Mytilus edulis: one gene and its partners. The protein of the gene in region 3 binds, or shares a complex with, the protein of the main gene of each other region. Links are inferred from orthologs where the notes say so. Each region holds a gene or a part of one and is shown on either strand. Other genes may lie near its edges. The genes, in order: cleavage and polyadenylation specificity factor subunit 2-like, cleavage and polyadenylation specificity factor subunit 4-like and cleavage and polyadenylation specificity factor subunit 3-like.

Region 1 (9,936 bases), on a different chromosome or scaffold from region 3:
CATTGATCTCCATAATCATATGCTATTTTTCTCTTGTTCAAGTTAGTGGTCATCCTGTTGGTAGCTGTACCGTGAATGTTTCTATTGTGTGTTTTACTTTTGTGACATATAGTCTAAATAAGCAAAGGGGTAAAGTCTGGACAGAAATTTATCTGCTTTAACCCCACTGCATCCTGTGCTGGAGTACCAAATCAGATCATCTTGACCGTGTGTTGAACTTTGAAATGTTGACTCATGTACATCTAACCCATATACACTCAAATATATTTAAAGGTGACATTTGGAACCAGAAAAAGACTGACCTAATAAGAAAAGTGACTGTTAAATTAAGGGGTTTAAAATGCATAGATATCACAAATACATGTACAGGGGGCCCAGAAGACCTTACATAACAGGTTTACGTTTAAAGGAGCCAGGATTTACTGTTCGTTTGCACTACTGAGAGTATATAACTACTTGAAATAATGGTTTTTTTTGTCTCTTGTTATTAGTCCCTTTATTACATGTTGGTAACTTCCTATTATTACACAATAATCCACTTCAGGTATTAAGTACTACTAAAGTATGTGTTTCTGTATTTTAGTGCATGTCTGATTGATACTATTTAAGTGCTTGGACATTTATCACAGTGTTTCACCAAAGTTAAAATCAATTTTGTCCCCTGTTAAAGGACCCCTGAGAGGTGTTATAATTTTTACTGTATGTCTGATTTAATTTCATTTTCAATTGATTTAAAACTACATGTTAAATTCCTATTACCAGTTGTTGACTTTTTTTTTAACTATCTTTAAAAATTGTTTGAGGAATAGTTCTTTACAAGTAAGACAAATGTTTAAGATTTTAAATACAACATATACATCATATCTTTTCTTTATGGCATTGAAAAAAAATCAATTACATGGTCCAATATAAACTGAATACATAGCAATAAATCACAACCATACAACCTAATACATAAACTTGCACAAATTATAGTTGTAAACATGTAAACAATACCAAACATACAGTTATCCTTGGAAAATATATACTATTTAAACTGCTTTTATTATGGGTTTAAACATTTGTGGCTAGTAGGAGAGTTTATGATTTTTTGGATTTTTCAATTTGTGTAGTTTAGATGCTTCTTACATATATATCAAAAGAATATTTTAATTTCCTTGAGTATTATGTATACAGACATGGACATTTTCCAATATGAGATATTTCCCTTATCTTGATATCACATGGAAATTGAAATGCTTAAAAATATATCCATCGCACATATAGTTTATACAAATTAATAACAACACTGATGTAATTAAAAGGCACAATTTTTGTTTGATAAAATTTGCATTTATGATTAATTGTGAAAACTGACCAAAAAAATACCAGCACTTTCATAGTCAATTGATTATTTTCTTGCTTCATTTATTATAAACACAAATCTCCTTTAAACTGCAACATTTAAGCCTGAGGCATGCTTCATGTGGTTTACTTTTTTGATAGGCAGTTTAATTAAACTAATCTATGCATAGTTACATATTATCAACAGGTAAATTTGTCATTAACCCTTTCCTCCATAATGACGCCTTTTGACGCCACCCCCTTTACTCCATAATGACGCCTTTGGACCCCTGTATAGTGCCTCAGTTGAAATGTATTACCTAGGATAAAACTTCATCAGACTTAAAAAAAAATGTAACTAATATAAAAAGGATATTCATGAGAACATCTGACTGGAATTTTATTGATGAAAAATTTGTTTTCACAATGCATTAATACTTTAAACCTGATGATTATCACGATTATTTTTCATTGAAAAAATCTTGTGCAAATCAAGTATGTAAAAAAAAAAAGCCAAGGAGGATAGCTCCTCCTAGCATCAAAATAATACAATGGTATAATAAAAATATAACATGTAATTTAAGGTTTTCACATGGTATACAGTTACTTATAAATGTGTAAAAATGTGTGTATACTATATGTATATATTGGGTCTTTAAAGACTCTCATAAATCTTTTTTAAGATTGGCACATACATTGTAAATTTTTTAATGTTTTAAGTCTATTTATGTGAATCTCATTTTATGTTTGTATGTGGTGAGACTATAATAAAATATTGAATTTGAATCTACTTCTTGTCTGTTATAATCCATTTAATAATTGGACAATTGAGTTTTCATTCCTTTGCACTTGTTGAAAGAATACATAAGAAATGCATGTCCACAGTGAATCAGTTATATTGTTACATATGGTACATGTATAAGAAAAACATGAAAGCAAGAAACCTAAAAACACAAGTCCACTAAACAAATACATTGTTTAAAACCACAAAACATTGATGTTTTGGGTTATTTGTGTGTTGTAAATACAACTTCAGAGTTTAGTATAATGTCCATTATCACTTAACTAGTATACAATGTACATATTTGTTTAGGGGCCAGCTAAAGAACGCCTCCAAGTGCAGCAATTTTTCGCTACATTGAAGATCCATTGGTTGGGTTGTTGTCGCTTTGACACATTCCCCATTTCCATTCTCAATTTTATTCATTAATTTATAGAAGATGTTTGGGTTAAAAAGGAGCATACATCATATTACATGTACATTCTGTAGTACAATATTAGACAATTGTATTGTGATAGAAAAAGTCACTCATCATCCCCTTAATATAAATTAGATTATAAATACTTTAAGAAATCTCTAAAATATGTAAACACTTTTCAATACAAACATAAAGAGAGAACAACTAAGAAATACATTTTTGGAGAATGCAAAAGATAGCTTCATTGCATTTAACATGATTAAACAACAGCAAAGAAGAAAACAACAATATATTTCCATTAGACACCATATATATCCTGCACTCACTATCACATTTCTGTATTCAGGGAACTGATGAAATCTGGCTCAAAACCCTCATTTGCCAGATTATTTTGTTAAAATATGCACATCATACATGTAAGGCCATGTGTGATTCCAGTTACTCTACTTAACATACCAGAAATATTGTACTTGATCTGAATATTGTGGTATGAATAAGCATTGTTTAGAAGTTTTATAACATTTAATAAGTGGGCAAACTTTGATAAGCGACCCCTATGTTTTTGTTTTAATAATGAGGGGCCTGATGGGTTATTTTCGTTCTTCTTGATCGGTGCATTTTCGCTATTGTGATCCGTTATTTTTTATATTTTCGTGATCCTTGATCATGGAAATTTATTTTCTGCAAATTGTGATAGACAAAAAAATCAACTAGTGAATTGTGATGAGACTGCCCCATCAAACCCCTCAATAATAGCCCACCCTTAAATTTTTTGGTCATTTTTCATTAAGCACTGTTAAAGTCAAAATGTTGAATGTTTTTGCTGAATGTAAAAAAATATCCCTACCCCCTAACCTTACTTTTTTTTTTATATGTATTTGGCCTAATGAGCAAAGGTATTAATTAATTTTCATGAACATAAATGTGTGACCACAACTTCAAGGTAAATTTCTATTTTTTCTGTTTGGTTCTGATGTTGTGCTTTAAAACTATCTACTGCCCAAGGTTAAACATCACCACATTCTGTCCTAAGCCTTAAAAAGTTTACATAATAAAGAACAAGTATGTATAGTTGTTAACTTCTGTGTCATTTGGCCTCTTGTGGAGATTTTGTCTCATTTGCAATTATACCACATCTTCTTTTTATATATATATATAGGCGATTTGGTGTCACAATATCACAGTAGCATGGGTTCGAATCCCGGCGAGGGAAGAATCAAAAATTTGCGAAAGCAAATTTACAGATCTAACATTGTTGGGTTGATGTTTAGACGAGTTGTATATACATTATGTACACAGCCATGTATCACCATCATTGATGGCGATTCGATGGATACATCTGTTGTAGAGTTGTCACTGACTCAGACGTACTTATATATATATATATAGTTGACTTCAGTGTCATTCGGTCTCTTGTGCAGAGTTGTCTCATTGGCAATCGTATCACATCTTCTTATTTTTATGTTTCAAGAGGATATGACCACAACTTTATATTAGCTTAGTTAACATGATACAGGATTAAAAATGGGACACAGAACAGAAAAGATTAGTATATCCATCCATTGAAGTGGGGCAAAAAGCAAAACAAAAAATGAATTTACATAATATGAAATGTTGACATACCTTAGTACTTCTCACTGATCTTAAAAAGGTTACTGCATCTATCTTGATCTCATTGGACTGCTATTAAAGAAAAAAATATATGCATTTATTTTTCATTATCTCTTCTATTCATATACATTTAAAAAATGTTTCATATCCCACTAAATTGGCTCACTAAGAGTATACATGTATTACAATTTCCTGTATTATCACATGTAACTGATTGATGTTTTTTATTTTTATAAACCTATGGTCAATTTTATCTGTTCTTCATTGGTTCAGCTGAAACATTTTGTCAAATGACCACTGTTTCCTGCAGCTGGATAATTGTGATAATCCATTGGATAAATGATACATTAATAGACATGAAGTAGAGAGAGAGATAGAGATTTTTTTATTTGATTCAATTGTTATTGCTTAAAAAAATAACAACATCTTTAAGGTTTAAGGTCATGTTTTATATTGAAATTTTTGCAAAACATTAAGAAATAATTTCTAATTACACATGCATCAATTTAAGGATTTATTATCTAAATCAAATTTACTGTTTAAACTTTAATATGACCAAGGGCCAATTTATTAAGAAACTGAATCGACTGTTACATACATGTACATGTACATGTATAAAGTAAATTCGTGAAAAAATACCTTAATGTAGTTTGAAGAGAAGGGTTCAGTAACTTTCAATATATATACACGAGTTGATCAAATTGCAATTGTATGCTTAAATTAAATGAATGATTATACCATTTTGGTAAATAACTGACTTAATTTTAAGTAATATATTGTTTACGTCCGATTACAATGAATTTCATAATAACCCACTTGGAAGATTGAAACATGCTGGAATTAAATAATCAAACAAAAGTGATTTAAAATGTATTATTTAACATGCTGGAATTGAACAAAACTAATTTAAAAAGTATTATTCATCAAATTTGAATATGAAAAAGGTTCATATTGCCCATACACACAATTTTAGATTGCTTTCATTGCAATGATTATGAGAATGTAATCAAAATGTAATCAGATTCTTGGGTGATTAATGATTACAATTACCACAAGCCTGGTATAAAGTTATATGAGATTAGGGAGGTTCCTCATTTCTGTTTTTCTTTCATAGTTTATAGTTTTTTTTTATTCTTCAGTCAGTTATTTTCATTTTTTTTCAATTTATGATTTTAGACACCATAACTCTTTATTATGTTTATTATTTATGACCATTTCTCTCTATAGATTTATTTAGCTGAGGGCTCATTTTCTATTAACCCCTTACCAGAACCTCTTACATCATGTACATGTAAATGATGTATGACACAAAAACAATCAATGGAAAAATAAACAAGATAAACAGATAAAGCTGCCTCAATACTTTCAAAACATCTCTAACTGATCAGTCTTAATCATACCTATAGTATAGAACTGGCATGACAATGAATTTGATTTAAAACTATCCAAACGTCACAATTGTCATAACTTATTTATTTTTTACAGAAACTCACTTGTTGCTGATGTTGTTTATCAGATGAAAACTTCAGAAAGAGAATCAAAACTACACAAGTTAGTATTGCAAAAGCTGAGACTAAGAATAGATACATCATTCATCACTTTCATATTTGAAGACGCCAAATTAAAACCAGATTATGAAAAGAAACTTTCATATCCATCTAAAAATTACTTCATACAAGTGATCATAAGTTCTGCATCAGTAACAAAGTTCAACCGGAAATGACTTAACTGAAGTTAGCTCCCTTTTTAATGTAAAGTTTACATCCGGTGTAAATCCAAACCAACGTGAGCTCTTGGCCGCCTAAACAAAGTGTTTTCTATTCACTTTGCAATTGTTTCAAAGCTAGAATTAGATGAGGTGAAATCAATTATTGTAATAAACAGTACTAGTTTCATCCACACAATACTAGATATACACAATGGTCCCATAAAAGCTAATCAACTAACCGGCACAAACCAGACAACAAGTCAACATACACTGACATAGGGGCCGAGTTCACTTGAAACTCTACAATCAACTTCAGAGTTAATAGATTATCACGTGAACGCACTAGAGTTGATATTCGGAACAACTCTAAGTCACTCTAGGGTAATGCCCTGACCAAGCATAAAAAATAAAATATTCTCATTGGTTTGACGTCATTCAAGAGTTTCTCGAGTTTAACCCTGGCTCGGTGAGGGTTGGAACTAGAGTACGAGGGGTTAACTCGAGTGATTCAAGTAAAATCGTATTGTTAACTCGAGAGTTTCAAGTGAACTCCGCCAGGTAGTCCATATAATTATGACGTCTTGAAAGGCTAATATTTTTTCTTTCTTTGACGCCTTACATCAACATTGTTATTCAGACTAACAGCACCTCAGATTCTGGCGTAGTACTAGTCGGCAAATGTCAATTCGGCTCCTATTTAAAGTCATTTTCAAATATTTTGGCATCTTGCTTGTAAAAATTGGGTATAATTTAAAAAAAAAAGTATTAATTATAAACAATAAGCATGAATGCATGATAAAACACTTTTATCCTACATACATATACGGTAAGCACAAGATCTAATGAGAAAACAGTAAGCACATCTGTTATCATGCAAAACATAAATATTGGTACCAAGCACAGCAAATTTAAGAAATTATTGATGCATTGCAAGCTATTCTTTATTGTAGTTTTAAAATGGGTAGGCATTATATTCGTGATTATATTTCCCCGAGCGATAGTAAGGGCTAAAATAACAGGAACATATGCCACAGCAAATTTAAGAAATAATTGATGCATTGCAAGCTATTCTTTATTGTAGTTTTATTGTAGTTGTAGCATCGGAACTAAACACATTTATTTCTTAAAAAAAAAACAGTTGTTGGCATGACACGGGTTATGTTCTTCTCATATATTTTATGATAGTATGATACTAAACCCCTAACGGGAGGGATTGTACCTGATATTCATATGATGAAGACATAATCTTTCAATCAGTTTAATTGAGGTCTGGAGCTGGCATGTCAGTTAACTGCTAGTAGTCTGTTGTTATTTATGTATTATTGTCATTTTATTTATTTTCTTTTGTTACATCTTTTGACATCAGACTCGGACTTCTCTTGAACTGAATTTTAATGTGCGTATTGTTATTCTTTTACTTTTCTACATTGGCTAGAGGTATAGGGGGAGGGTTGAGATCTCATAAACATGTTTAACCCCGCCGCAATTTTGCGCCTGTCCCAAGTCAGGAGCCTCTGGCCTTTGTTAGTCTTGTATGATTTTAAATTTTAGTTTCTTGTGTATAATTCGGAGTTTAGTATGACGTCCATTATCACTGTACTATTATGCATATTTTAGGGGCCAGCTGAAGGACACCTACGGGTGCGGGAATTCTCGCTACATTGAAGACCCATTGGTTACCTTCGGCTGTTGTTTGCTCTATGGTCGGGTGGTTGTCGCTTTGACATATTCACCATTTCCTTTCTCAATTTTATTAAAATGGGTAGGCATTATATATTCGTGATTATATTTCCCCAAGCCATATATAGTAATGGCTAAAATAACAGGAAAATATGCCACAGCAAATTTAAGAAATAATTGATGCATTGCAAGCTATTCTTTATTGTAGTTTTAAAATGGGTAGGCATTATATTCATGATTATATTTCCCCGAGCAATAGTAAGGGCTAAAATAACGAACATAATGCCAGTCACCTGAAGATTTCATAATTATAACGAAAAAATGGGGGAAATAAAATAACACGAATATAATACCTACCCATGTTAAAACTACAATAAAGTATTGCTTGCATCAATTATTTCGATTCTGATTAGGACAATGAAGGTATTATCTATATCCGATGTATATAAGTGTACAGTGTTTGTGTATATATCTCTTCCATGAAGTTGAACCTCCCTTTTTTGTTTGTAAAAAAGCAAACGACTGGCAATGTGAATTTTCAGAGGGAGGAGTTTGAACAGCCAGCATGAATGGCTGTCGTATCTTGCTCAAATATGTCAATTTCCATTTGCAAATTACAGTCATAATAAATGAATTAGTAACAACATGTGCATCATTTAAGAGTTCAGAGTTGTTTTAAGTTAATGAATTATATTAAATGCATGCCAATTTGATAAAAATCATTATTCTGCAGTAGTCAATATACGCATGACCATGTGCAAACAAATTTTATTAGAGCATGGGTTTATTCACAAAGCAAAAGAAGCACGTCATATTAGAAGAGCAATTAATGTGTCTGATCTGTGTGTCTTTTTCAAACGATAAATATGTTTATATTAATGTACAGTTGTCACAAAATGGAAGTTCCATAGGTACTAAAAGTTATAGTTTAAGGCACTTTGGGACAGTAGAATTATTTTAGTATTATATGAACACAAATATACTCTAGAAATAACTTGTTTAAATTTGCTTTTTACTATCCAAAGCACTTGGTGATATTCTCTTATTCTCTTTTTGATATATCAGCCTTCTTTTACTTTAGACAAAATGTTAGACAACCCATAAAGAGCTATATGTACTAAACTATTCTTAACCCCTAACCTTACCCTAACCCATACCGTAAACCCAAAACTAGCCCTAACCCTAAAAGCTAACCCTAACCTTAAATTAAATATCCTCTAACCATACCATAACCAGGAATTAACTGGTACCTTTACTCTAGGTATAGGGACCCTTAAAGTAAGAGAAGGCTGATATATCAGTGATGCAAAAATAATTGAATTGAAATTAAATTTAAAAAAAAAGACTAAAACACGTTTGTGATATTTTGAAAAGAAATGGTGTGACTGTGTCAGTTGTGTCATTTGGTTATGACATTTACATATGTACAGACTAAGTACTGTATTCTATTGGCTCTCAGTTTGTATTTAAAATCCAAACTTGTTGAGATATATATTTAAGTTAAAAAATGTCGTGTTAAAAATAAAATGTTATTGGAAGTTTTTAGGACTACTACCAATTAACAAATGATTAATGAAAAAAAACCTGAGTTATGACTTATGTCCAAATATTTTCTGCAATGTAAGAACATCAACCTTAGTAATTGGTTAAAGGAAATGTAAGAGTTATGTTTTCATCATTAAGACAGCAACCCATAAACAATATATAAAAGGTTGTCTTAGCTTTATCATTGTTATGATGACAATGGGACCTGTCAAAGGATATTTTCTTCCAGTGAACAAATAAATTGAAACAAACAAAATGTGCTGATTTTATTTCAAGTTCAACTTGCCACAGGACGCTAAGCAACCAACAATCAATTTATCATTGTAACAGATTTTCTAATAAAGATGTACAATCTCTTTCAGATGTAAAGATGCAAGATTAATTTAGACCATATAAACTTTCAACAAGAACAGGAGTCAACATGACATCTATTATTAGACTTCAGCCTCTGTCTGGAGCTCATGACGAATCTCCTCCATGTTACATTCTGCAGGTGGATGAATTCCATTTCCTTCTTGATTGTGGCTGGGATGAAGACTTTAATATGGATTTTATAAAACAGTTGAAAAGGTTAGAATCATCAAAATACAGAAATTTATAGATGCATGGGCAATAAAAAGGATTATGTTTGTTTCCCCTAACCCTACATATACCTACCAAGAAAATAACTGCCTACTCCAAACCTTTTATTGTCTTGATGTGATAAACTGTTTTATTTATTAGATTGACATGAAGACCTAAAAACATCTGACACTTCAATTTTTCTTTGCAAAAAAAAGAAAGAAGGAAAATGCATACATACATACATTTGCCTTCCTACTTTGGGTAGGGTTTGGGCAAACCAAAATATTATAAGTGTGGCCTTGCTGC
Region 2 (10,319 bases), on a different chromosome or scaffold from region 3:
CTAAATTATGTCTATGGGATGATAACAAAATAACGTCAGCCAATCAGAAGAGGCGTTACATCCAAAATTAAATTATTAGTACATGTATCATTTTTAATAAGCAATGATAATGGCCATCACTCCTGATTAGCAAAAGTGGAAATCATCGATACTAAAATGGACACAATGATGGACAACTGTTTTGAATGTTTGAAATAATTAAGAAACGTTAAATAAGAAAAGGTTGGAGGAATGGTTCTTAAACTATTGCATGGAATGACATAAAATTAAAATCAACTAACAGTTCTTCTGTTATTCCATTGAAACAACATAAATTGGAAAGCTCTTACAGTATATTTCATGTTTTTTTTATACTTTATTCAATATATCCTTACATCATTGTACATTATCCCATATCTCTAATCATTTAAAGAATTCTATTGTCTAACTGATCATGCTGATACTAATAGAAATATAAATAACAATAATTTCCATACCAAATTTTGAGAAAAAGTAACATTCCGGCATCTTTGTCATATCATACTCATGGAGAAATTCACAATCGTCTCCTTTCTTACATAGACCTCGTAACCAATGTTTACATACAACTGTTCTGTCTCCTTTAACATGGCGGAATGGACAAGCAGCACCTTTACTACAAACATTACTTAAATAGTATGTACAGATAGCTGCTCCAGATTCTAAATAAAATAAAGATAATTCAGTTATCATGGTTATAGTAGAATCAGGATGAAATGTCATTGGAATTTACACAACAAACATGACAGAATATAATTTTATTTCCATATGTGTATGAAGTAAAGTCATATCATAAAACAGTGAAGGATATAACTCTATAACGTTATTAGAGAAAAATAACATTTTGTTTTGTCATGTTTGTGCACAAATCTGAAATTCACTGTTTTAGAGTTACCTCCCCTTAAAATACCCTCAATTTTTTTATTTTTTTTAAACGACCAAATATAATCTACACATGAAAAAAATTACTATTTATAAGTTATATTCGTACAAATTGTTTCTTTAAAATGAAAATTCAAATTTAATATCTGCATTCCTGCATCTAATTTTGCTAACTTGATAGAAAATCTGGACCTAAGGTTCTCTGTTTTTGGCGAAAGACACCCATACCACCTTAAGTGAAATCTATTATTTGGTTTTGTGTCAGATCAGATAACCATAAACAAAAAGAAATTGTCATGTTTCTTTTATTTGTGCTGCAGTGATGATAGAGTCCTTGCAGTTTTAAGGGGGCTTGCGGGTATAAATCCAATTTTTTTTTCTAATATAGGATTTCGCTATATTTTTTTACAAATGTACTTTTTATCATAATGAAATTAACAAATGGGGTCACCGTTCATTTAAGCTCACAATCTGCCTCCGAAAGAAGCATACATCTTTGTTTATGTCCTTTTTTCTGTTGACGAACTAATAGGAGAAATAGTTATAATATCAAAATAAAAAAAGGACTAAATTACAGAAATCGCTTAAATTTTACAATTATTTAGTTTATGTACAGCTTATTTGAAACCAATAATAAAAAATATAGGTCACCGATGAGTTAAAAAAGATATTTCAATTTTAATGCCAAAATTTGGCATTTTTGCAGCAAAGGGAGATAATTTATCTCTTCATTTATGTAAGATTCACCTACCTGCCACCCTTTATTTTCTCATATTCAGACAGTTTTCACAGTGACCCATTGATTCTGGCAGTTTAACTTTCATTTCAAAGATAAATGAAAAATGAACATATTGATACCCGATTTATGTAATTCCAAGGCTGTTTGTCGGTACCAGAAGCGACGAAGCAGCACACTTATTTTGGATGGTAAATATCCATTTTTTATATGGGACGAGCTCTGACATCCCAAGGCCCCAGCTTATCTGGCAAAACAGCCATTGGACGTTAGAGTAATCTTGGACTAACCCTCTATAGGCACATTCTCTGTTTTGTACTTCTATCTATTTTTCTAATGGCAAGTAATGCAAGCATAGAGTGCTTCAGAACTGTAAGTGCGCACCATTAATGAATCAATGGTGCTCTCTCTTCATTGTTGGATTTAAACTACATGTAGTATTGCCACTATTGGTATCTGTAATGCGGGTAACACGAATGACCGAATAACAATGTTATTATCACAATAACGCTTGTAATGACACGATGACCGAATAACACTTGAAATTTTAATATTAGCACAATTTGGTGACTTTTAAACATTGATTAATAAATAATAATATATTATCGATGTATTTTGTAACTTTAAAAATGATTTACTGACAGCAGAGAAGTTCCTAAAGATCATTTTGAATTTAGTGTTTACATCGAACATGGCGGCCATTGTGATTTCCGTGGTCACCATATTGGATGTACTCACTAAATTAAAAAAGTTTTTAATAAACTAATCTGCTTTCTGTAAATCATTTATAAGTTATAAAATACATCAATAATCATGATAATAAACTATTATTAATATTCAATGTTTAAAAGTCACCAATATGTGCTTATATTACATTTTCAAGTGTTATTCGGTCATTACAAGTGTTATTCGGATATTAACAGTGTTATTCTGTCATTCAAGGTACCGTCTGTAACGCTTATACATGTACATAATTTTCAGAATATCGGTCTCACTAATTAGCGACAACAAGAATTTTAGCGACAACAAGCATCAACAAGCGACAACAAGAATTATTTTAGCGACAACAAGCGACAAGAAACTATTTAGCGACAAGAAAACATATTTTTTTAATTAAAATTAATCATTGCAATAAATATTAAAAGAATATGCAAAAGAAAATAATTTTAGCGACAAGAAAGTTAAAATTGATAGAAAAAAATGAAACATTATTTACATAATATTTTATCATCTTTTATGTATAACAGCCAGTATTACGTTTAATTATTGTGTTTTAGAACATATTATTTATCTTATAATTTGTTTTTTAAAACTCTTTTCGTGCAATATATATTAAGCTCGCAAAATGAATTATTTGTGCATCATTGTCCTGAAAATATTGACACAAATTGTGAAATACAAAGAACTGAAATCAAACAAGAGGAAAAGAAAATTGAAATGTGAAAATTTCATCTTTTTATTTGCTTATTGCCCCATTAAAAGATATTTATCATGTTTATGCATATTGATTGAAGATGAAAGGAAATTAATGACAATCTTGAGTTTTCAACAGGTGTTCACTATTTACAATGTCAGATTGTATATTCTGGTGCATGTAATTGTATAGTCTGATGCGTGTACAAAGTTGAAGGTGTTAATTGGATGTTATTGTAAAAAAAAAAAAATCATATGGACCCCAAGGTAGAACCACGTCCTCGTCGTGGGGTCTGGAAACACGCTTAAATAATAAAGATGGCAAAGTGTGGCTGAGAGTTCTACAAAAAAAGCATCGAATTGACATAACAAGAGTACACTTAGAGCATAGTATTAAGCAAATGAATCAAAATATTATATTCCATTATGCCCGCTCCATATATATCTCCATTCCTTTATTCATACTTTGACTTTGATGAAAACAGATACATACATTATCTTATACATATTCTTCATATTTAAAAATATAAAAAAGAAGCTCAATCTCTTTCTTCTTCACAAATGTTTAATTTCTTCATCTACCAATATACTAATATAAACTTCACAATCTCTTTCTTCCTCACAAATGTTTCCTTTCTTTGTCTATCTATATAATAAAACATTTTAATTAGACATATCTGCTCGTATATTTAAAAAAAAAACCATTAAATACAAATTTCTTTATATCTAATAAAAAAAATGTTTTCTTTTCACTAAATAGTCTTCTTGTCGCTTGTTGTCGCTTCTTGTCGCTTGTTGACGCTTGTTGTCGCTTCTTGACGCTTGTTGTCGCTAATTAGTGAGACCCCAGAATTCTCAGATCCGGACATCCTGGCATTTACATTTGTCAGGAGGTGATGCCATCCGGAATCCTCTAGATTTTTCATCTATTTGAAGGGGATAACTGATTATTTATATTGCCGATAATTTTTTAACGAGAGGTTATAGTATGTTAAAAATCAAAATAGAGATATTATATAGTGTCTTTAACAGTATTAAAAGAGTAAAATTACTATATTCAACTGGTTACGATATATATCAATTAAATTAATTTGCAATAAGTCTATGGAAAATCTAGAGGAATCTTATCCGCATCACCTCTCAACATTGTTTACATAACAAAAATGCTAATCATTGATTGGTCAGTTACATGTTGTGATGTCACTGCAGATCTGAGAATATTATTATTTTCTCATATGTTTCTAATGACAAATGAGAGCACGTACAGAATCATGTGACATGTACAGTAGACTATAGGAAAGGAGCGGTTCGACTCTTCTAAATTATTATGAAATATTGGAAGACTAATTATTTGAACTAGGCTTGTACACCTAGTACATGCTGTAGCATAAGTTAAATAAATTTATGGCCCATAACTTGGGATAAGCCATAACCCACTGAAAACATAACTAATAACTTACTGTCCATCCCTGGAAATGGGAGGGGAAGAGCTCCAAGCTGCATTTCTAAAGATGCAGTTATGTCAAACTGTATGTATGTTACGGGAGCTACAACGTCTTGCATTTTTAGTGTTTTCAAGTAAGACCAACTCAAAATAAAAATTGCGTCTTTTTGACGTTGATTTTATTTTTTGATCTTTGAAATCTTTCAAGCGCTTTTTACATGAGCTTGATGGGAGTATCATTTTAAATCACAAAAACAAATCGGAGAGATTAAATTTTGCGGTTACTGGTTCCTTGCAAGAAACTAGTTTTTGTTGCTTACACAGTAGATTAAAGAAAGTAACAGAAAGGGATTTTCCACTTTTTTTATTACTTCATGAACTTGATGTCAACTTTTCTCTCATTGTTAAAAATGGGATGAAATGAATCAAATCATCTTAAGAACTCATAAAAGTGCATATGAACCTGGAGAAGAAATATTTGGGTAATTAAACATGTCTCTTTTTTAAGAAGAAGAGGACAGATCACAATTATCATTTGACAATTTGCTTGTCATAAAACTTCACCATGTTCACAGAGTGACTGACACTGAGTTTTCCCTTCTCTATCTCTCTATATATATACATATACAACTCATCTAAATGTCCGCCCAACAATTTTAGGTCTGTAAATTTGCTTTCCCAAATTTTTTGTTCTTCCCTCGCCAGGAATTAAACTCGTGCTACTCAGATATCGTGACACCAAATCGCCTGCACTGTATCCAATGCGCTAGACCACTAGACCACTAGACCACCATGGCTTTAAAATAAAGCTTTCGGTGGCTGGGTGTTACCTTTCCTCGTCAGTTTTAATTTAGCTTTGTAATATAGTACATGATACACAGGGTTTGTTACAATTTGCTGGGTTTACTATATAATTCATACGAAACCCGAAAAAAATCACATCTTTTGTAAAGGATCCTACAAATTAATGCAAGATAAAGTCACAAAATAATTATATTTATAAGTACGTCTGAACCAGTGACAACTCTACAACATGTACAACAGATTTATCCATCGGATATGTAAATAACTGATGTTCAGTCTAGGTTGGTAACTTCATTGTCATGTCATATGTTTTTGTACGTCATATATATATATATTTCTTCTGCCAAATTTTGAAATACTGCCTTTCATCATATTCATTCAACATGATGAATATTCTGTTTTTGGATCATTCATTTCATTATGTTCATAGGTTTCCATTGCGGATGAATAAATTTTGTCATGTTTTCCGGTTTCTATATTTGGAACAACAATACCACTACAACGTGGCAAATAACAAACATATTTTATGATTTAATGGTTCTGGATTTGGTTTCGCAAAAAAACTTACAATTAAGATTGATCATCATGATCATAAGCATGATAAGTCTAAACAATTCAATTTCAGTATATACTTACAAATGACTTACAATAAATCTTAGTCGTAAGTTTTTTGTGAAACCATCTCTTGGCCTGCCAGGAATTAAATTTATGGGATTTTTATAGAATGGAGATAAAAACATCTGTCTGACAATGTCTGAAGATAAAGATTTCAATATATATATATATAAAAAAATGTTTTCTATTACAAATCATGATGTATTGTTTTATGTGTTCATGTCATGCTGCCCATCAAGGGCCCTAGATTGGAATAATAAATAGTCTTATTCTTAAATTATTCAAAGTGTATTTGATGAAAGACGTAAGAATGAATTTAATCAATCTTACCTGTTCATGTGCTGCTCAGCCATTTTTATTTAATGTCAAAAATATGCATCACTTGGTCAGATTTGTCTTTCTTAGTACATGTACTGTTACAAGTTTTCTTCAAAACTCACTCACTCACATGTCTGAGTTTTCTCTAAATTAGTTAGAGTTTCCATGATTTCATATATCATGTATATCATGTATCATATTTCTTGCAATTACTCTGGTTTCATTTCAAAGTCCACTCTTTTTCATGTTTGTCATAGTTTGGAACCCCATATATTTGCAAGAAAGACACACGAGAAAAAAAAATCATCCTAGTATAATCTCTGAAAGAAGGGAACACTATTGTAGCTCTCAAGAACAATGCATTGGGGTGGTACATACACATTCCCTAAATGCAAGGGTTAATAATATGGACTACGACATTGAATATTTTTAATTTTTTACTGCCAGACATGTCATATACATTACACCACCATGAAAAACAACACTTTAAATTTAATTTATATAATTAGGTAATAATTTGTATGTTAGTGACCCCTTATCTGTACATGTAAATATGAATAGATTAAGTGAATTACTTTTTTAATACATTTCAGAGTGGTATACTTGAACATTGCTAACCCTACAGCAGGGACTGGAGTTTGTGTCAGATTTGAAGGTTATGAACATTGTAAGTATATTAGTCATATATATATATATGATACACATGAAGTTTTCAAGCAAACTGATTTTAAAGTATTTTATAATAGAACTGTATATGTGCATGTGATTGAAATGATTGACAACGATTGAAACATTGTACAGCATGTGGTTAGATATTGGAAATATTCAGATTAAGTGCACAAGAACTGTTTACTGAACATTTAAATGAAGAGTGAAGGACTTATTGTGGAGAAACCTGTAAGAAAGAAATGTTGGTATTACAGTTATACTGTACGATAATAATTTGTTTGTTTGGTCAGTTGGGTTTATTGAGGTATGCCCACATGTACCATCTCTTTTTATCTAATTTTTATGTATAGAATGTAAAATAATTATTTTTTCTAGTTATTTACAATTCTGGTATAAGAGATGATCCTGAATATTTGATAAAGAAGCAGTATATAGATTGTCCTTTTGACCTTTATAAATCTCAAGGTAAGTGTCTATATTTTATAACCCTTTGTTTTAATAATTGTTGTCATGTTGCAAGCTTAATGTTATGGAAAATTTTCAGCTCTTAAAATGCTTGGTCATCATTTACAAATGTTTCAGGAATTGTATATATGAATGGTTTTCTACAAATGATCCATTTTTGGAAAGTTTGCTATAGCTTGCTATTGCGACTTTGCTTAGGCGTCGGCCTCAAACTTCTGGTTACAGAATATCTCAATTCATTCTGCTCCGAGATAATGTAGTACTAGTGTTTGAATTCTTAATCTTTGAAGATTCTTTTGAAATTCTGAGTAACTACTCTCTTGACTGCAAAGATTACAGCTTGAATAAAAAAGAAATGAATGTTCACCGACGATTCAGATGAATTTAACTTCATTTTGAAAATGAGTATCACAAACACTACTTCGCGGATCTGCCATGTGCTGAAGAGAAAATCAAAAGAAATCTACGTGAGATTGCGTTTTCATTCATGAATATTTCATGAATGGACATTTTCCCGCTCTACTTTTACTATTTGTAAGTAAACGTGGTAAAAGCCCGAGTGTATCGAAAGAATTGGGAATGACTGATGCAAGAACAAGTTGACATTTTGACCAAGCTGTCAGATAATTGACAAGTGATAATCGTTTGTTTAAACAAAACACAGATATAAAATACTCGATAATTTAAATGTCTAATGTCTCAGGCCAAGGACGAGTAAAGGCTTTGATAAAAAAAAGGGCATTGTTTTTGTCTAAACATCGATCAGAAGGTTTTGATGCCAAAAATCATTTGAAAACTTTTAATTTCTTTATTTAAATACTAATTGTTTCACATTCCAATGTGGATATAAGTACCTTCACTCGTTCAGCATGCTCAAGTGGATCAAACTAACAGCAGAAAAAACATTGACCCAACATCAATTCTTCTTCAGTCTCCTTCCAATAATTTACATCATACCACCTCTGGTGTATTATCACAAATTCTTATCATATAGCATCTGTATTAAAAGCAACCGGGTCAGCATCTACAGTAACTTTTTAGAATATTATAGCTCAGGGTATCAAGACAAGTGCTGTAGAAATTATTAAGGTTAATGATGTGTACCTTTTCGCTAAAATGGCTGCATTTTCACCTCAAAATTTAGATAGATTACAGACAAACCTGTGCATCTGGAAAAGTTTTAAGGCATAACATGCCCTATATAAATAGAATTCAATTGCTTTGTCATCCAAACACAGAGGCAATGATTACTCTAATATATCAAATGAATGGCTTAAAACAAAACCTTACTTGTATATACCTCCGTACATCCCAAAATTCGTTTGAACTTTCTGTTCTTTTACTTTAGTTTGTCTGAACCAAATTGTATGAAACTTATACGCAATGCTTATAACCACAATTTACTAGTCAAGTTTGAATTTTAGTTGCGTCACTTTTACCATTCTAGTGTTTTATGCTACTTTACAAATAGAAAAGTTGCTGGAAATTTTAGTTTCTGTTCTCTAACTTTAGTTTGTCTTAACCAAATGTTATGAAACTTATACACAATGCTCATTACCACAAACACTGATCAAGTTTGAATTTTGGTTGCGATAGTTATACGGTTTTAGAGTTATGCCCCTTTACATATGTAAAAATTGCTGAATATTTTCATTTCAGTTATCTAACCTTAGTTCGCTCAACCAAATGTTATGAAACTTATACACAATACTTTTAACCATAAAACCAAGATCAAGTTTGAATTTTTGTGAAGTCATTTTTAATGCTCTAGGGTTGTGCCTCGTTACAATTGGAATCAGATGCTCCACAGGGCACAGCTTTATACGACCGCAGAGGTCAAAACCCTGAACAGTTGGGGCAAGTATGGACACAACATTCAAGCTTGATACAGCTCTGAATTTGGATTGTGTTCAAATTTTTGACATAGTATATAGGTTTCTGACATGAAACAAAAGTCTAGATCTTACAAATCTATTGCACAATACTGTGTAATTAGAATGTATACACAATGCTTATTACCCCATAACTCAGATCAAGTACAAATTTTGGTAGCATCGCATTTACAGTTCTTGAGTTGTGACCCTTTATAACGTTAATGCTAGTGGGGGCATCATTTGTGTCCCATGGACATGTTTCCTTCTTTTGATAAAAGCCTTTAATATAAATTCACGTTCATTACAGTTGTATTGATTTAAGTTACTGTAACTGTCCTATTTATAAAAAAGAATGCAGTATTTTTTGCAAAGAACCAATGCTATCCAAAAGAGTTCAAAGGAGGAAAATGTATTAATAACTCTAGGCCACCATACGGTCGTCAATAATGAAAAATAATTGTACCATATACGTGTAGAAAGCTATAAAAGGCCCCAATATGAAACATGTAGAACAATTCAAACTAGAAAACTTGTGTGTTAATTTAGTGAAAACAAATATGAAGGACCTGTCACCTGAACCAATAGAAAAATACTAATTCACAGGCCCTTGGAAGTTGATATGGCATGGGTACTTAAAGAAATTAACAGAGCTTTCTGTATATTTCATTATTTGAGATCTACAGTTTTTGGTTGCAATAGAAAATATCAAAACTTTTTATGATAAACATGAAAAAAGAGATTTTTGTCGAGCCTGCAACTTTTGTTGCAGAAAGCTCGACATAGGGATAGTGAAACGGCGGCGGTGGCGTTAGCTCACTTCTTAAAAGCTTTATATTTTAGAAGGTGGAAGACCTGGATGCTTCATACTTTGTATACAGATGCTTCATGTTAAAAAGTTTCCGTCAGTCACATGTCCAATGTCCTTGACCTCATTTTCATGGTTCAGTGACCACTTGGAAAAAAAGTTCAAATTTTTTGTAATGTTGAATTCTCTCTTATTATAAGTAATAGGATAACTATATTTGATATGTGCGTACCTTGCAAGGTCCTTATGTCTGTCAGACAGTTTTCATGGACCTCA
Region 3 (10,941 bases):
TACACAAAATTAACTATTTTTTATATTATATTAAGTAAAGATAAAGTAGCAAAAGTAGCAAAAAAAATCAATTTAAAAACTTTTTTTATCATGTTTATGAAATTCATAATGTTTCATGGCACTCAATGAATTAGTCCCAGTTGTTTCTTATCTTTACATCAAAATGATATGTATTTTTAACAAATTTATCTAACAAATAGTCTGTTAATGCGTAGTTTTCTCTCTTGGTATATTTTTTCTGTCTTACTGTCCATCTGTTGTCATTATCGTGAAAATGCGGATTTTTGTCATATCTGGTCCGGTTCCCATCCGTGGTTTACACAAAAATGTGCAATGGCGGCCGTAGAAAAATTGACGAAAATGAGTCCGAGAATAAACAATGTTTGACAAGAGATTGTGAATGAATAAGACGCTTTTAATGCATTAAATGGATTAAACATAAACATAAGCCAATTATGATAACTTTTTAAAGAAGTATTAAACTCATTTTAGCTCCAAACCAAAATTCTCGCTCTCGTATTACCGGTAGAGAAAAAAAAGTAATTTTGAAGAGTTGCACAAATAAACGATCTTTTAAAAAAAATAAAAATCGTTTCAATCTTTGAAATTTCGTAATACAAAACATAGATTTCAAATTGTTTTGTGATTGCATTTTTCCATGTCGAAATTGGTGATTGCAGACACGTGGTATTAGTCATGCCACAAGTGTCAGCTTGGGACATTCGCATTCAAACAGTTATCACCCGGAGGGCAATTAACACCTAGCTATTTAATCTCTTAATTGCCTTAAGTGTCCGACTTAAAGGGATTACAATTAAAGGTGATATAATTTTTATGATCATAATCGATAATAGATGAAAGTTCAAAATTGAGGACAAGTATTAAAGATAGCATCTTCAAAATAATTATAGTGTCGCAGGAATTATCATAGCATCCCGGTGAAAAAATATAGCGTCGCTAAAACGGCCTGGGGAGAACACTGACTCAGACTTATCTGTTACCCTTAAATAAAGGGGTTCAGACGTTCTTTAAACAATCTCCAAGGAAATCAGGATTCCTTGTCTATTATCCTGCATTTAGGTTGTAGGCATCAGTATCATTTTTCTTCTTCTCAGAAAGAATTACAAGCTGGTGGTAGATAATTAAAATGGTATTTTATACTTTCTGTTAGTCATGTACTCATATAATGTTTTAATAATTTAGATTTCTCTCATATTTTAAAATCTAGAGTAATGACATAGACTTAATGGTTGGGTTAAAAACATAACCATTATTTTTGTCTTACCTGATGAAAATTTAAAGTCTCAATTTTGTCCATACTTTTCTCTATATCACTGTCTGCATACAGCTGATATTCTGACGATATATTACTGCAAAATACAAAACAAATGAAAATATCAATGTATAAGTCTATAAGCATGTTAAGACACACTGTTTGATGATAATATCAGAATATCAATGTGAAGTATCATATCACAAAACAGGAAATAAGTGTAACTTCATCAATTTATTAGCTGTAAAAAGTAGATTATTGACATTTTTTACCAAAAAATGAGGGCAGTGACCATATGACTATTTTATGTCCATCAAACAGAAATCAACTATGATTTCAACAACATTTTCCTCTAGAAACCTTGCTGATGTCCATCTATTGAAATCCTTATCAGTATAAAATTAATTCAAACTGATGATGAATATAAGTTTTGGAAAGTAAAGCAACCTTATCATTTAATACAGTTATAACTTCATGCAGTATTTATTGTTACTTTACTTTCTTAATGTAAGTGTCACTGATAAGGGTGACATTAAAATCAGTTGGACTGCTATATTAATGTACCTGACTTTGACGTAATCTGACAAAAGCCATCTATAAATAGCTTTTGTTGCATGGGTCATGAAACACCGTCCTTTGAATGCTGTTTTCTCTAAGAAATATGGCAATGCTCCACAATGATCTAAATGAAAGCTGTAAAATATAAAGAACATAGAACTATATAGTACTAAACAAAAACTAAATCTCGCTATAGAAACTAATATACTTAACAGATCTGTTTTATTCCACATTTGCCAGAAGTATAGAGTTGAGATCTCACAAAACATGTATAACCCAGGCTCTGCAACATTTTTGCACTTGTCCCAAGTCAGGAGCCCCTGGCCTTTGTTAAGTCTTGATTTTAGTTCAATTATATGTTTTGGAGTTTAGTATGGCCTCCAATATCACTGAACTAGTACACATCTTTGTTTAGGGGCCAGCTGAAGCAGGTTTTTGGTGTGGTATTTTCTAGTTGTGTTGAAGACCCATTGGTGGCCTTCAGCTGTTTTTTGCTCTTTGGTCAGGGTGTTGTTTCTTTGACACATTCCCTATTCTCTATCTTATCTGTTTTAGTTCAACCATGTTTCATTCGATTATTGTGATGGTATGATACTAAACACCTCACGGGGAGGATTGTGCCAGATATTCATATGATGAAGACATAATTTTTCAATCATTTTAATTGAAGTCCGCAGCTGGCATGTCAGTTAACTGCTAGCAGTCTGATGTTATTTACCGTATGTATTATTGTCATTTTGTTTATTTTCTTTGGTTACATCTTCTGACATCAGACTTGGACTTCTCTTGAGCTGAATTTTAATGTACGTATTGTTATGCGTTTACTTTTCTGCATTGGCTAGAGGTATAGGGGGAGGGTTGAGATCTCACAAACATGTTTAACCCCGCCGCATTTTTGTGCCTGTCCCAAGTCAGGAGCTTCTGGCCTTTGTTAGTCTTGTATTATTTTAACTTTTAGTTTCTTGTGTACAATTTGTTCATTATCACTGAACCAGAATATATTTGTTTAGGGGCCAGCTGAAGGATGGCTCCGGGTGCGAGAATTTCTCGTTGCATTGAAGACCTGTTGGTGACCTTCTGCTGTTGTCTGCGCTATGGTCAGGTTGTTGTCTCTTTGGCACATTCCCCATTTCCATTCTCAATTTTATTCCTGTACGGCACTGCCAAACTATAATCACTGCAAGATAAATGAAATTTTTTAAAATGTATTTAAATTTTTTGCTTTCAATTTAACACTCACTGACTGATCAGCAACAGATCTATGTCTTCAACATCTACACAATCTAGGTATGGAAGGGAAGCAACTCCATGAAGTCCTGGGTGAATGCCACAGTCCAACTACAATACAGAAAAAATGGCGTTTTAACAATATAAATGTACTCTTACAATCATAAACTTCATTTTAATTGCCAATTGTACATGTTGGTTGCATGGAGAGTTAACTTCTGTAAATTGAAAAATTTAGTTTGTGGTTAGTCATAATTTAAATAGTAAAACAGATGTGTTTGAAATTGAGTCCTTTGAAGAGTTTTCTTTTAGGTACCGTAATATTCTCCAAATATACTGAGATTTTATTCACAAGGTGATATATATTTGATAAATATGCAAACCAAAAAATCTGCCTGTTTTGGAACATATTTCATGACTCCTACTTGAAACTGATTTAATCTCTTTCTCTGAGCTAGCTGAGGTATTTTATGCACCTTTAATGTAATTAAAATGTACATTTACAAAAAAGTGAATTAATCAAAGGTGTTGTTTACTTTCTTGGATCAACCGGATAAGCATGATAAGGTCATCTATGTGTATTACCATGATGAAGATTTTTCTGTATTTCGTCACACTCTTGTTAAATTGATTAACCCATGTCAATTGCAACCAACTAATATTTGCTTAAGCACACAAATGTGATTTTGATATTTGATCTTACTTGCTTAAGAAATTATTACATTTTTAAATGACATACAACTTTTTATGGTCACATTATCATGATTATTATGAAAGGTGTATAAATTGTGATTTCTTTTCCCTAAATAGTCATGATAGTGAAAGATTTGATCACTCAAATGTCCCAAGAAAAAACTAGGTTCTGGAAAGTTAACACCTGTTACTGAATATTTACCATAATTTTCTTTCCTTTGAATTCCAGTATGTGACATGATCTACCTACTTCTTGACCAGAACCTCTGAAATAAATATTAATCAATGAGAGAAATATGATATATAATAAATTTTAAATAGAGATAATTCTAAACCAGCATGACTACTATAAATTCAGAAATTTTTGCGGGCATTATCCATGTTTTATCATTGCATTTTTAGAAGAATGGACAAAAATGTGAGACTAATTTTTGCGATTTCGAGAAAAATCTGCATAAAGATGTATGTCATGTATGTATCAGATATCAAATTTAGAGTTCTTTTTTAGGCATGCGGTACTCAAGCAGTCCTATTATTTGCATAAATTAAAAGCAAAGATTCCTTGGTCAAGCTGTGTAGATATCCAGATTGTGATATAAAGGTACGTCTATTGGAACCAACAGTTCTTCAAGTTCAACGATGTCAGTAGGTGCTTTCTTTCCACACAAGTTAAAGCCATCATCGGTACCTTTGATATAATGACACAGTTATGTTGTAATTATTTAATTTGGGCGCCCTATTTCGCAAAATTATATAAATCTAATTAACGATAGTCTTGTCTCATGGGTTTTCATGCTATTAAGAATGCATTGTGACGTCACAATTTCCATTAAAAAAACATGCATAGTACAAATTCGTTTGACGTACGAAACCATATGATCTGACCATATACATGTATTCATGGTAGGTAGAAAGTGATATTTGTAAAAAAAAAAAATCACAATGTTTGATTGGTTTTTTGTTTGTGTGTGTGTAGGCACAGTTAATAATACTTTATATGAAAGGACGAACAAGCTAAGAATCTATAGTTATTATTTATGAGTGAAAATATATGCTAACAATGGTTTTATTATCAACTGATCACTTTCTTCTATAGGAACTTGGCCCTCTGTTGTTTCATTAGAAGCCATTTTTTTTCTGATTGTTACTTCTTAATATGACAAACAGAACTTACATAAATACTGTAAAATGTCATACATTTTCATAAAATAACACAAAAATAACTTTATTTCATTGCAAATTCATATATTTTTATATGAAATATCTATTTAATTTATTTGTTTTGTTTAATAATACCTCATTTTTAAATAGTTTCGTTTCTTTTAAAAATCTGCATTTGTAAAATTCAAGATGTCTGCGCCCATGATGAAAAAATATGCCGAAAATTATAGTAAGGATCTATATATCTGATCATATCTTAGGATTAAGTATTTGGGTCAAATACAATCTTGTTCATTTTATATCTCTAGTCTTCTTAGGGGATTAATAGTAAGGATCTATATATCTTAGGATTAAGTATTTGGGTCAAATACAAATTATTATCTTGTTCATAAATTTTCATATCTCTAGTCTTCTTAGGGGATTACCATTTGATTTTCTTGGGAAGAGGTATTCGGAGGATTTTGAAAAACAATTATCCTGGCCTGGTTACAGCTGAGGCACGAACATAAATACATGTAACCTTGGTAAAACTAAAAAACTGAATGAAAAGAAATTGTGGCAAACAAATGTTTCTCCATCAAAGCCGCAGAAAAAATTTAGCATACTCGGCTACAGATCCATTGTAGGGGCTGTTGTGTAGTCTAAATAATTTATAGTTAGGAAGGCGCCACAAATCCCTCTTGCTGCCGGAGGGACACATATGTCCATGGTAAAATTTATGCAAGTTTCTCAATCAATGCTGTATCTCTTGGAATTAAAAAACCGAAGATTAAACAGTGTCATGATTTTCTCCAATTGGTCCCAAATGTAACGGTCATTATGTCGTGACGTCATATATCGAATGACGTTGTTTGGCATGTTAGGTCACAGACGTAGCTGTCGTATTCTCTTGCATATGAAATGCAACCTTGAAAAACGGTTGGCAGCAAGAGGGTTAAAAAGCCTTTCAAGTCGTCATAATTATTTTGACTAGCCATAGTGGTAATCTGACGGTCAAATAGTCAAATGATTCAATGGTCTGACAGTTCAATAGTCTAGTCAGATGGTTTAGTGCTATTATATATAGTGATTCATTACTGCTAGACAGAATTATTCTGTATTTATGAAGCATATATTTCGTGATCTTCATTTCCTTTTAACTGTGTTTTCTTTTTCTATTGACATGATTGATTTATTTATTATTTTCATTGTGATATGTAAAAACAATAAGTGAAAATCAAAAATAGTAAATGAAGATCATTCTCAGGAAATATACTTTTTCTGTGGACAGGTGGACACTGATGTTTGTTTGGTTGTTCATATATTAGCTTTCACAACATCTCCACATCTGGGGAGAGAACAACCCATCCAAAGAATTTAATTCTACGTAACTCAAGAAATCCCTCAGTCCAGCATATCAACTGCTGAGTCTCTGAGTTCCATGGGATGTTTTCAAAAGACGAAAAGTTGGGCACACAACAGCAATTAGTAGGCACCCTTTCTAGGTCTTTTCACCACCAAACACCACCACACACAGTGGAACACCAGCGAAAACCCCCATTTTTTTTAGTTATCTTTTATCGTTATAAATGTGACCTAAATATAATATTTAAGTTATAAATTCAACAAATAATAAGATTAACAGACCAAATATCTACATCAAACACAGTCACTGGACACCTCAAATATGTTTTTTTTTCTTGTTTTTTTTCATCTTTAAAATATTTGTACCTATATCATGAATATTAATACTATCTTGTACTATTATTTGTCTGTTTGTCTTTTTCTTTTTTAGCCATGGAGTTGTCCGTCATTGTGTCAGTTTATTTTCGATTTCTGAGTTTGATTGTGCCTCTGGTACAGGCCTCGACAATAACGCTTGTCCGATACCAGAGGGAAAAAAGGTCGGACAAGTAAAAGCTGTATCAAGCTTGTCCGTCGGGACAGGTTCAATTATTTTGCAGAAAAAAAGTTTTAATTATTCAACTTTGATGAACATTTTTTTACAAAAATATTTTTTTTATTTACCATAAAATTAACAAAATCATATTTGATCATAAGTAGAAAAAAAACAATACTTGCAATATAGTGACCTATAGTTGTAAATTTCTGTGTCATTTGGTCTCTTGCTGAGAGTTTTCTCATTGGCAGTCAGACCTTATCTTCTTTTTATTGATTGTATTTGAATACACTTTTTTCTACTTAGAAAAATATAGGATACAAATGTCAAATGAGTGTACAGGCCTATCAGATGGTGCCTCATGTGCAGAGTCTGATGAGACTAGCATTGATGAGAACTATAACCTAAGTCCTGTGACATGAATTGATTCAGTTGTACTTGACTCATATTTTTGAAAATTATTTTAAAAAAAACCCATCAAATTCTGTTCTATTGTTTCAATTCGTTTTGTTCCTTTAATCAACTGAAGATGTAAAAAGATTATTTTACAGTAAAAAAAAAAATTGGACAAGTAACAATTTCATTCGGACAAGTAAGTTTTGGTAGTTGAAAAAAAAAGTTATTGTAGAGGCCTGTGGTATCTTTTGCCCCTCTTTTAAGAAGAGACATTTATCATATATATATATATATCAAAATCTAACTGACATGACTGATGAAGAGAAATCAAGGATACTTGAACTGATTACTTATTACGAATATGTTTGAATTTTATTTGAAATGTTTAATATATATATACATATACACACACAATGTAATCTGGATAAAGGGATGAATCTGGGGACAATTAACTCTATATTGATTTATTGATTATCGACTTTGACATAACAATGATGCACATAAAAATCTAAAAATTGATTTAATAATATGCTATTTAATTTATTTTATCGTTTTATTGTATAGTATCACTGTGGTCAGTGTTGTTTTTTTGGGGTGTTCAGCGGTATACAGTGGTGTTTGGTGGTGAAAGGACTCTGTGGCCATGATTTTGCTGATTATCATTTTAACTGGTTGTCTTGCCACAAGACCAAAGTTCTTTACTTTTTGCCACTAACTGTGATTTAATTGAAAAAAGCACCCACTTATCTGAGCAGTAGTAGATCAGTTGCTAACAGAGCAAACTTACACATATGACTCTTCTTGGGCGCCATCTGCACCCTTCTTTTTTGGCGAATTTTGACTGTCAATATTTGCAAAACATGAAAGTGGTCATCTCTGTTAGGATCTGTAATTAGGCACTTCACAGTACTAGTACTCTTTTCTGGTACCTTCCACAGTCAGGGGACTTACTGAAATAGGTGATTTTTAAATCACTTATTTGAGTAGCAAAATCGTTTTTTTGTCACAAATTGGAATTTTGTATTTTTTTCCAAATTTTAAACACATAGGTTTAAATAATATCTTTTAATTAGTAAAATTAAAAAAAACAAAACTTTTTGCTTCTTTTAAGTAGAAAGGTTTCTGCCTTTGATGCTATCATTTAGCTGAAAATTCTATTTTAGTTGAAAAAATGCTATAATAATGGCTTTACATAATGAACTGATACTTTCTTAAAAGATTTTTCCCAGCAGTGGGAGTATTTTTCCTGTGAAGTTCAAGGTTTCATCTTTCAGATTATGTAATAAAATTCTACTGTTCGCGATAAAAATCTCACTGTTCAGGGGTGTTGAAATTAGTAAGGATTATTAAAAGAATGATACTTAAAGAAGTGATTTTTGGGAAGGAAATTGAGGTCTGATACTTAAACAAGTGATTTTTATGTCATTATCCTAGATTCAGTACAAGGTCATCACCTGAAATGACCTGGTCATCCTAGACAACACAGATGTTGGTTCTGATAAGTTAATTAAATTAAATTAAAGTTAAGTAAACATAATTAGTCCCTGGATCATTAGTATTCTATATTTAAAGCTACAATAAAATTAAATCACTTCTTCTAGTGATTAATTTGTACTACTTAAATAGGTGATTATTAAAGAAAGACAACTCTAACTTCCAACCTTTATGGAAATAATGTTACTTAAATCAGTGATTTAGATAATCACTTATTTAAGTAAGTCCCCTGACTGTTCCATGTATTGTAAAGAATTGTACATTTGCATTGGCTTAGGCACATTTGAAAAGTCACATCACAATATATTTCTCAAGTTTGCATGTGTTGAACATGTTGAACAGATAAGAACACCACAATCATTGTTAATGTCTGTACAGCATGAATCTATCTTCCAAAGTGTTCAAATTAAATTGAACATGTTGACAGAGTAGATTTTTTTGTTGACAAGCATACCTTCTCAAGTATTGTTAAATAATACTTCATATATATTTCACCTCTCTTTTCAGATTTATATTCTTAGTAAAAAGTACAATAGTAATTGATGGAAGATCTTAGTGGCAAACTACATTAGTTATCATGGTTATTGATTGAAGATTTCAGGGAAAAAGTACACAGTAGTAATTGATTGAAGATTTTAGGAAACCTTTTTGTATACAATGGTAATGCAGAGAATAAACTATTGTTTTGGAAAGAATTTGTACAGAATAAAACAAAAATGGAATCCAGTTATGACTTGGTGTAAATACTCACACATGCTCAGTGCTGTCAGAGAGCCATGTGGTATGTTACAGACCAAGAAAGGATTACTATTGTCCCAATTAACTGTTAGATGTCGAACTCTTCAGACACTTGTTGGTGTAGAAACTATCTTAAATTTAGGGAGACATTGTAGACCATTACAGGAGTGTTGTATGAGAAATGGACTTTTTATTTTTACACGGGAATATGCCTCTTTACAAAATGTAGATGATGGCCTATTGATAAAATATTTGGACAGTTTGAATAAGGAATATAATGATATTTTCGATTTATACCAAACAGGAAAGAAAACAAAGGAAATGGGTTCTAGAAGAGTATTTTTAGAACCAATTGTGGACGTTTATAGTGGAATGAAAGAAAAATATAATGAATTAGAGGAAATACAACTTCTTATTGAAGGTAAGCTTATTTATGTCTTATACAGATTTGTCATGTTTTACAAATGTATTACCTTTTCATTATCAAAAGAAGAAATAACAATACTGTAGAAACATTAATTTTCGTGGGGTTAAAATTTCGTGGTTTTGTCTCTCTGTAAGATTTCATGGGGATTTAATTTCGTGGTTTCCTTAAACTGAAAGTGGTTTTATATGGAAGTTAAATTTTCGTGGGGGTTTTAATTTCGTGGATATATTATTTCCACGAAATAAACGAAATTAAATCCTCCACGAAAATTTCTGCTTTTACAGTATTTCTTTTTAAACCCTGTCCTAAAATATTAATAGAAACAAGCATCTTCATAAATTTGGTCAAATATATATTATTGATTGACATCCATTCAACAATTGAATTTCAGTGAATATATTACCATGAGATGATAGACCTTCATAGATGTCCATGTATTTTTTATGTATAAAATGTATGCTTTTAAACCATTAACTTTCAGAAATTTTGTTATTCAGAAGATGAAGAAATGAAGACAATGGCAGAGGCTGAACTTGAGTCAATAAACCAACAGATAGACGACATGAAACAACAGGTTAGTGGCTAATCATCAAAGATGAATGTTTATAAAACATATCAGACATGTCTAATCCACATCTTAGAAAAGTTAAACCTATATTCTCCCCCCAAAAAACTCCAATTTCAAAGATCATTATTGTTTAGTAGCACATTACACATGACATGACATACACATACATGACATACACATACATGACATACATGACATACATGACATACATGACATACACATACATGACATACACATACATGACATACACATACATGACATACACATACATGACATACACATACATGACATACATATACATTGAACACACATACATGACATACACATACATGACATACATATACATTGAACACACATACATGACATACACATACATGACATACATATACATTGAACACACATACATGACATACACATACATGACATACATATATACATTGAACACACATTTTAATTTTTTTTTTTGTTTTTTAGACAGCTGAAAGTTACTTTGAACTAAATACTCTAATTTGAGATACATGAATTTA

The links.
Region 1: cleavage and polyadenylation specificity factor subunit 3-like (region 3) and cleavage and polyadenylation specificity factor subunit 2-like share a complex: the UniProt entries of both Drosophila melanogaster proteins name them as parts of the cleavage and polyadenylation specificity factor (CPSF) complex. The link is inferred for Mytilus edulis from reciprocal best matches to the Drosophila melanogaster genes Cpsf73 and Cpsf100.
Region 2: cleavage and polyadenylation specificity factor subunit 3-like (region 3) and cleavage and polyadenylation specificity factor subunit 4-like share a complex: the UniProt entries of both Drosophila melanogaster proteins name them as parts of the cleavage and polyadenylation specificity factor (CPSF) complex. The link is inferred for Mytilus edulis from reciprocal best matches to the Drosophila melanogaster genes Cpsf73 and Clp.

What each region holds. Positions count from the first base shown.
Region 1 is NC_092346.1:19,601,948-19,611,883, reverse strand, and holds the start of cleavage and polyadenylation specificity factor subunit 2-like, read left to right. Parts: upstream 1-5,875; 5' UTR 5,876-5,991; intron 5,992-9,428; 5' UTR 9,429-9,487; coding exon 9,488-9,636; intron 9,637-9,936. Other genes in the region: uncharacterized protein, read right to left, coding at 4,146-4,205, 5,627-5,725. UniProt on the Drosophila melanogaster protein: Component of the cleavage and polyadenylation specificity factor (CPSF) complex that plays a key role in pre-mRNA 3'-end formation, recognizing the AAUAAA signal sequence and interacting with poly(A) polymerase and other factors to bring about cleavage and poly(A) addition.
Region 2 is NC_092352.1:24,768,923-24,779,241, reverse strand, and holds the start of cleavage and polyadenylation specificity factor subunit 4-like, read right to left. Parts: upstream 4,691-10,319; 5' UTR 4,613-4,690; coding exon 4,510-4,612; intron 681-4,509; coding exon 477-680; intron 1-476. Other genes in the region: uncharacterized protein, read left to right, coding at 4,914-4,975, 6,824-6,897, 7,275-7,364. UniProt on the Drosophila melanogaster protein: Component of the cleavage and polyadenylation specificity factor (CPSF) complex that plays a key role in pre-mRNA 3'-end formation, recognizing the AAUAAA signal sequence and interacting with poly(A) polymerase and other factors to bring about cleavage and poly(A) addition.
Region 3 is NC_092350.1:41,933,297-41,944,237, reverse strand, and holds the start of cleavage and polyadenylation specificity factor subunit 3-like, read right to left. Parts: upstream 4,922-10,941; 5' UTR 4,882-4,921; coding exon 4,811-4,881; intron 4,018-4,810; coding exon 3,954-4,017; intron 3,170-3,953; coding exon 3,072-3,169; intron 1,967-3,071; coding exon 1,838-1,966; intron 1,371-1,837; coding exon 1,286-1,370; intron 1-1,285. Other genes in the region: peptide chain release factor 1-like, mitochondrial, read left to right, coding at 9,339-9,840, 10,344-10,420. UniProt on the Drosophila melanogaster protein: Component of the cleavage and polyadenylation specificity factor (CPSF) complex that plays a key role in pre-mRNA 3'-end formation, recognizing the AAUAAA signal sequence and interacting with poly(A) polymerase and other factors to bring about cleavage and poly(A) addition.